Macaca fascicularis: one gene and its partner. Each later gene encodes a partner of the first gene's protein in a complex. Links are inferred from orthologs where the notes say so. Each region holds a gene or a part of one and is shown on either strand. Other genes may lie near its edges.

What was found.
Region 2: the proteins of KLHL12 (region 1) and PLEKHA4 are in contact, whole or in part, in a crystal structure (PDB 8OIO), measured with the Homo sapiens proteins. The link is inferred for Macaca fascicularis from reciprocal best matches to the Homo sapiens genes KLHL12 and PLEKHA4. Residues at the interface, in NP_067646.1 of Homo sapiens: Phe289, Arg320, Glu417, Tyr434, Ile439, Phe481, His486, Cys511, Tyr512, Tyr528, Leu533, Cys558; in NP_065955.2 of Homo sapiens: Pro177, Gly178, Gly179, Pro180.

The regions. Positions count from the first base shown.
Region 1 is NC_088375.1:60,647,097-60,650,908, reverse strand, and holds part of KLHL12 (kelch-like protein 12), read left to right. Parts: intron 1-1,859; coding exon 1,860-1,966; intron 1,967-3,188; coding exon 3,189-3,384; intron 3,385-3,812. UniProt on the Homo sapiens protein: Substrate-specific adapter of a BCR (BTB-CUL3-RBX1) E3 ubiquitin ligase complex that acts as a negative regulator of Wnt signaling pathway and ER-Golgi transport.
Region 2 is NC_088393.1:56,823,534-56,827,345, reverse strand, and holds part of PLEKHA4 (pleckstrin homology domain-containing family A member 4), read left to right. Parts: coding exon 1-152; intron 153-2,353; coding exon 2,354-2,412; intron 2,413-3,489; coding exon 3,490-3,602; intron 3,603-3,812. UniProt on the Homo sapiens protein: Binds specifically to phosphatidylinositol 3-phosphate (PtdIns3P), but not to other phosphoinositides.

The DNA of each region.
Region 1 (3,812 bases):
ACGTTGCTAGTGATTTCATGTCTCTTTTCAGTCTCTTTTTAATACAAAGTGTTTCCATCCTGTTTTGGTTTTTACTAATCAATTTATTTCTTGAAGAAAACAAGCTATTCGACCTGTAGAATTTCCCACATTCTGGACTCTGCTGTTGGCATCTTTATAGTGTCATTTAACATGTTCTTCTCCTATGTATTGCCTGTAAACTAGTGGTTGGACTAGAGGGTTGTTAAGAGTCAGCCTCAATTTTTTAGAAAAAAGACTCATTAGATGGTAGTGTGGTCCTTCCTATTCATCACCATTAGGAAGCACACAATGTCTCATAGTAATATGTTAGCTTTTGAAATAATGATTCTAGCCCAGCAATTGATGATAATTGTCAAATCCATTACTTCATTAGGGGTTTATCTGTGTTTCCTGTCAGCTTCAAGGTACTACATTTGCTCTTTCAAGTCCAGGTTACTTGTAAGATCACTTTGGTCTCCTAGATGCTTCCTAGTGATTGAATTTTCCAAAGCTCCAGCTAACTGTTCTCTCCATGAGTTCTAATTGAGTTCTAATGGAGCACATGCACAGGGGATTTTCTCAAAGAGACTTTGCTCTTTGAAAAAAGCCAAGCCAGGTGCTGTGGCTCATACCTGTAACCCCAGCTACTTGGTAGGCCAAGGCAGAAATATCGCTTGAGGCCAGGAGTTTGAGACCAGCCTGGGCAATATAGCAAGACCCTGTCTCCAAGAGCCAGGGTAGGAAGTATTTTATCAGAGTAAGGCCTTAGGGGAAGGGGAAGATATAAAGGCTGTCAGAATAGCTTCTTTGGGAAAATAGAGAAAAAGACTTTTCCTTTAAAACTCTAGTCTTTTGTTGCCTTGTGGTTTTGATGAATTGGCAGGGAATATGATCATATAGTTGACTACATTGGAGAAGGAAATGTTCATGAAAAAGAGATTTTAGGCCAGGCACAGTGGCTCATTCCTGTAATCCCAGCACTTTGGGAGGCTGAGGCAGGAGAATCACTTTAGGCTAGGAGTTTGAGATCAGCCTGGGCAATATAGCGAGACCCTTTCTCAATTCAGAAAAAGAGACTTTAAATCCATCACTTGGATCCTAAGTTTCAACATGCAGCTTTTTTTTGTGACAAGGTTAGGAGAGTTCTTTCCCTATTACAACAAAAAAACCCTCCCAATTTGGGTTTTTTCAGGCTGAGAAGTGCAGAGAGTGCCTTTAGCCTCTCACCTGCACTTAAGACCTCAAGTATTATGTCAGCCAGTCATCTCAATAGGTTGAAATGGTGCAGTGTTGCCGGGCACGGTGGCTCACGCCTGTAATCCCAGCACTTTGGGAGGTTGAGGCTGGCAGATCACCTGAGGTCGGGAGTTCAGGACCAGCCTGACCAACGTGGAGAAACCCCATCTCTGCTAAAAATACAAAATTAGCCAGGCATGGTGGCATATGCCTGTAATCCCAGCTACTTGGGAGGCTGAGGCAGGAGAATCACTTGAGCCCAGGAGGTGGAGGTTGTGGTGAGCCGAGATTGTGCCATTGCACTCCAGCTTGGGCAACAAGAGTGAAACTCTGTCTCCAAAAAAAAAAAAAAAAAAAAGAAATGGTGCAGTGTCATGTTGAAGTTTGCTTTCTAGAGTTTTAATGTTGTCCAGAAATTTAAGTTTCAGAGACTTGAGAGCTACAGCCTCAAGGAGAAATAACTCCCCATTCGACAGCCTTATGATTATCTCCCATTTCAGATTGCATCCCTCAGTCACATAAAACAAGACATCCTAGAACTGTTTCTGTTGACACTTCCCTGTGACTAGTTACCCATCCAGGGATGCTGAACTAACCCATCTTTTTTCTGCCTTTGTCTTCAGGAGCCAATGAAGTGCTTTTGGTGGTTGGGGGCTTCGGAAGCCAGCAGTCTCCCATCGACGTGGTAGAGAAATACGACCCCAAGACTCAGGAGTGGAGCTTTTTGCCAGTAAATAATGGTGAAACCATTCGTTGGGAGGGAGCTTAAATGTCCTCAGTCTCTGGGTCCAGATCATAGCTAATCCAGCCTTAGGAGTAGAAAAGCTATTCGTTGGGAGGGAGCTTAAATGTCCTTAGTCTCTGGCTCCAGATCGTAGCTAATCCAGCCTTAAGAGTAGAAAAGCCTAATAACAGGATCATGTTTCTTACAGCAGTCTTGTGCACATAGTAGGTACTCACTAAACAGTTTTTGACTGTTTAGATTAGAAGATTATGCCTTAGTAATGTCAGTGGCCCTGTGTCAAGGTAAACTCAGATGGCCACCACTAGTTAGGTGCCTTGCCAAGCTGTCTGTATAATTCCCAGCACATTTCATTGGTCATGCTGTGTTAAACTGAACTGAATGTTAAATTGTGTGTAATTGAACCTAGTGTTCAGTTGAGCTAAGTTTGGGCTGGGCATGGTAGCTCACACCTGTAATCCCAGCCCTTTGGGAAGCTGAGATGGGAGGATCCCTTGAGGCCAGGAGTTCAAGACCAGCCTGGGCAATATGGTGAGACTCTGTCTCTACAAAAAAGTAAACAAAAAAATTAGCCAGGCATGGTGGTGCATGCCTGTAGTCCTTAGCTACTTGGGAGGCTGTGGCAGAGGATTGCTTGAGCCCAGGAGTTCGAGGTTGCAGTGAGCTGTGATTGTGCCACTGCAGTCCAGCCTTGGTGACAGTGAGATCCCAACTCAGGAAAAAAAAAAAAAAAGTTTGTATCTGTCTTCCTCAGCATGTCTCTTTCAGTGCTGAATGAACAATAGTACTTTCTAAGAAAACATGGAAATCCAACCCTTCTACCTTTTAAGGTTCTTGTAATAAATCCTGGCCCTTTGATTAGCAGTGTGGGAATACTTTTCCACTTTATGGAAGGATATCAGTCTCTTAGCCCAGTGCCTTATGGAAAAGAAAGGAGTCAGATACTAGATAACAGAAGACTGTTAAATCTTTTGGAAGCCTTGGAAAGAGGCAGATGTGCAGAAAGCTTGTATCTTTAAGAGCACCACAAGCATTTCGTTCAGTAGATAGCTATTTGGGAGCCACTTGAGGATGAACCACTCAGGGAGGGTTCATGATAACAGGTGAAGAAGCATAGAGGTGTGCAGATGCAACAGGGAAGATGGCAAAAGGTAAGGCCTAAAACTTGCCTAACTGAAATGCTCTGTACCTCTTCTCTCCAAATCCATAGAGCATCACTCGTAAGAGACGTTATGTGGCCTCAGTGTCCCTACATGACCGGATCTACGTCATTGGTGGCTATGATGGCCGTTCCCGCCTTAGTTCAGTGGAATGTCTAGACTACACAGCAGATGAGGATGGGGTCTGGTATTCTGTGGCCCCTATGAATGTCCGACGAGGTCTTGCTGGAGCCACCACCCTGGGAGGTAGGCTGGATGTGCAGGGCAATTATTTCCATCTTACTGTGGCTGGACCAGGGTTTTTAACCTCTCCTGTTGTCTGGCAGGAGCATGAAATATGGAGAAAAAATTAAGGTCAAATGTTACTATTATTTGAGATAGGGTCTCTCTTTGTTGCCCAGGCTGGAGTGCAGTGGCACGATCACGGCTCACTGCAGCCTCAACCTCCCCAAGCTCAAGCGATCCTCCCACCTCAGCTTCCTGAGTAGCTGGGACTATAGGCATGCACCACCATGCCCAGCTATTTTTTTGTATGTTTAGTAGAGACAGGGTTTCGCCATGTTGCCCAGGCTGATGTCTTACTCCTGAGCTCAAGTGATTCACCCGCCTCGGCCTCCCAAGGTGCTGGGATTACAGGTGTGAGCCACTGTGCCCAGCTGACAAATATTCCTTTT
Region 2 (3,812 bases), on another chromosome or scaffold:
CCCGGCCCCGAATGAGTGCCCAGGAGCAGCTGGAGCGGATGCGCAGAAACCAGGAATGTGGACGGCCCCTCCCTCGCCCGACCTCCCCGCGGCTCCTCACCCTGGGAAGGACACTGTCCCCAGCCAGACGCCAGCCTGATGTGGAGCAAAGGGTGAGGAGAGGAGGACTGGGGCTGGGCGGTGGGGTGGTAGTAGGTCCTCTTCGCCTACTTTGAGTCCCTTTCTGTAAAATGGAGATAATGCCTACCTCCTTACTCCAAGCTGGATTTCCAGATTTACCTCAGTTTGTACTTGTGCTAAAGTCAGCTTCCTGGACTGGTTAGTGGTGGGTGGACAGGAGTGGCAGTGAGGGGAGGACAGTGGGTGGGGGCGGGGGGTCGCAGATCTGGATTGGAAGCCTAGTTTTTCTTCTCAGTTGCTATGTGTTGTCAACAGCAAGAAAGCAAAAAAAGAAAATGTAAGACAGCAAGAAAATTGATTTAATTCATGCCCTTTCAGTAGGGAGAACATCCCAGATCTGAGCATCAGAGTGTCTCAGATATCTCAGGATGGTTTCCCCTTAGATGTTTTCTTTTTTTGGCCGGGTGCGGTGGTTCATGCCTGTAATCCCAGCACCCTGGGAGGCCAAGGAGAGCGGATCACCTGAGGTCGGGAGTTCGAGACCAGCCTGACCAACATGGAGAAACCCCGTCTCTACTAAAAATACAAAATCAGCTGGGCGTGGTGGCGCAAGCCTATAATCCCAGCTCCTCGGGAGGCTGAGGCAGGAGAATCACTTGAACCCAGGAGGTGGAGTTTGCAGTGAGCTAAGATTGTGCCATTGCACTCCAACTTGGGCAACAAAAGTGAAACTCCGTCTCAAAAAAAAAAAAAAAGTGTTTTCTTTTTTCGAGGACGAGGTCTTGCTCTGTCTCTCAGGCTGGAGTGCAGTGGTGCGATCTCTACTCACTGCAACCTCCACCTCCTGGGTTCAAGTGATTCTCGTGCCTCAGCCTCCCGTGTAGCTGGGACTACAGGGATGCGCCACCACATCCAGCCAATTTTTGTATTTTTAGTAGAGACAGATTTTCACCACATTGGCCAGGCTGGTGTCGAGATCCTGAGCTCAAGTGATCCTCCTGCCTTGGAAGGAGGTGCTAGGAATACAAGTGTGAGCTACTGCACCTGACCTCCCCTTAGATTTTTTTTTCTTTTTTTGAGATGGAGTCTCCCTTTGTTGCCCGTGCTGGAGTGTAGTGGCGGAATCTCGGCTCACTGCAACCCCTGTCTCCCAGGTTCAAACAATTCTCCTGCCTCAGCCTCCCAAGTAGCTGGGATTGTAGGCCCACGCCACCATACCCTGCTAATTTTTTTGTGTGTTTTTAGTGGAGATGGGGTTTCACCATACTGACCAGGCTGTTCTTGAACTCCTGACCTCAAGTGATCTACTCACCTTGGCCTCCCAAAGTGCTGGGATTACAGGTGTGAGCCACTGCACCTGGCCCCTTAGACTTTTATAGAAAGGATTTAGACAGTCACGGGGGTGGTGGTGGAGGTTGGATTTCTGAACTCATGTGCTGCTTTATAGGAACACAGGTAAAGTTAAACATTGTCAGTCGCTGGGTGCTATGGCTTACCCCTGTAATCCCAGTACTTTGGGAGGCCGAGGCAGGAGTAAGAGACCAGCCTAGGCAACATAGCAAGACGTTGTCTCTACTAAAACTAAAACTAAAAATAATTAGCCAGGCATGGTGGTGTGAGCCTGAAGTTCTATTTACTCAGGAGGCTGAAGCAGGATTAGTTTGAGCCTGGGAGGTTGAGACTGCAGTGAGCTATGATCACGCTGCTGTACTCCATCCGTTCTAAAAAATGAATAAATAAAATAAATTTATTTTTATTTTTATTTATTTATTTTTTTTGAGACAGTGTCTCGCTCTGTCGCCCAGGCTGGAGTGCAGTGGCCGGATCTCAGCTCACTGCAAGCTCCGCCTCCCGGGTTTACGCCATTCTGCTGCCTCAGCCTCCCGAGTAGCTGGGACTACAGGCGCCCGCCACCTCGCCCGGCTAGTTTTTTGTATTTTTTAGTAGAGACGGGGTTTCACCGTGTTAGCCAGGATGGTCTCGATCTCCTGACCTCGTGATCCGCTTGTCTCAGCCTCCCAAAGTGCTGAGATTACAGGCTTGAGCCACCGCACCCGGCCAATAAATTAATTTTTAAAAATTCAGTGCCTACGGAAGCATAGGAAAAACAAAACAAAACATTGCCAGTGTTTTTGGGCAATTTCATTCTCTTTTGGAGCCCCTTCACTTCACCCTCAAAATGAGAATGTGGGGCTTCCAGGTGAGGAGTTCTAATGCCCCAATTCCTTTCCAGCCTGTCGTAGGACACTCGGGAGCCCAGAAATGGCTCAGAAGCTCTGGGTCTTGGAGTAGGTAAGGAACTGGAGGGCGTATCAAGGGAGCAGGAAAAAAAAATTTGCATAAGCAAAGGGGAGTAGCATTATTATTGGTCTCCTGAATATGGAACTACAAATCGCAACCCTTCTAGATATGCTTACGTTCCCGGGGCATCTGAAACAAAACCGGAAAGCCCTAGATCCGTAGTGATATCTTTAGTTCCCCAAATTCCCTTGGTCAATAGCATAGCCTGCTTTTGCATCAAGGAAATTGGGTGGTAGTGATTTCCGAATGGACTACAAATCCCATAATGCATGTGGGCGGTATGAGGGCGGTGCCATGTTTAACATCTGTTAGAGACACGTGCTAGGAACTACAACTCCCAGAAGGGCACGCGCGGTACCCGGGTCCCCACTGTGCGAGCTGTTCAGTTTTTATTTTTATTTTTACTTTTGTTTTGTTTTTTTTGTTTTGTTTGTTTGTTTTTTGAGACGGAGTCTTGCTCTGTCTCCCAGGCTGGAGTGCAATGGCACGATCTCAGTTCACTGCAACTTCCTCCTTCCGGGTTCAAGTGATTCTCCTTCCTCAGCCTCCCTAATAGCTGGGATTACAGGCGCCCATCACCATGTTTGGCTAACTTTTTTGTATTTTTTAATAGAGACTGGGTTTCCCCATGTTGGCCAGAGTGGTCTCGAACTCCTGACCTCAAGTGATCCACCCGCCTTGGCCTCCCCAGGTGCTGGGATTACAGGGATGAGCCATCGCACCTGGACTGTTTTTTTTTTTTAAATTTTTAATTTTTGTTGGTACATAGTGGGTGTACATATATTTACGGGATAAATGAGATGTTTTGATACAGGCAGGCAATGTGAAATAAGCACGTCATGGGGAATAGAGTATCCATCCCCTTTCAAGGATTTACCCTTTGATGTATAAACAATCCAATTACACACTTTATTTTAAAATGTACAATTAAATTATTATTGACTATAGTCACTCTGTTTTGCTATCTAATAGTAGGTCTTATTCATCCTTTTCTTTTTGTACCAATTAACCCTCCCCACCTCTCCCCCATGTACACACCCCACCCCCAATCTTCTTTTTTTTTTCTAGTCCAAGGAACACCACCCCTTACTTGCCGACTTCCGAAGGTCACCGGGAGCGGGTTCTCAGCCTCTCCCAAGCCCTGGCTACTGAGGCGTCGCAGTGGCACAGAATGATGACAGGTGACTGGCTGGGGATGTTGAACTTCTGGGTTTTAGGGAGGAGAAAGCTGGAGACCTGGAATCCCAGGTCCTGGAGAGGAGGGGTCTAGGGGCCGGTGGGAATTTTTTATGTTGGCGAGGAAAGAGTTGGGCAGAGTTTGGGAGTTTTAGGTCTCAGGCAAGAGTGGACTGGGTTCCGGGACACTTGGGAGGAGGGGAGGAAGAGGTCAG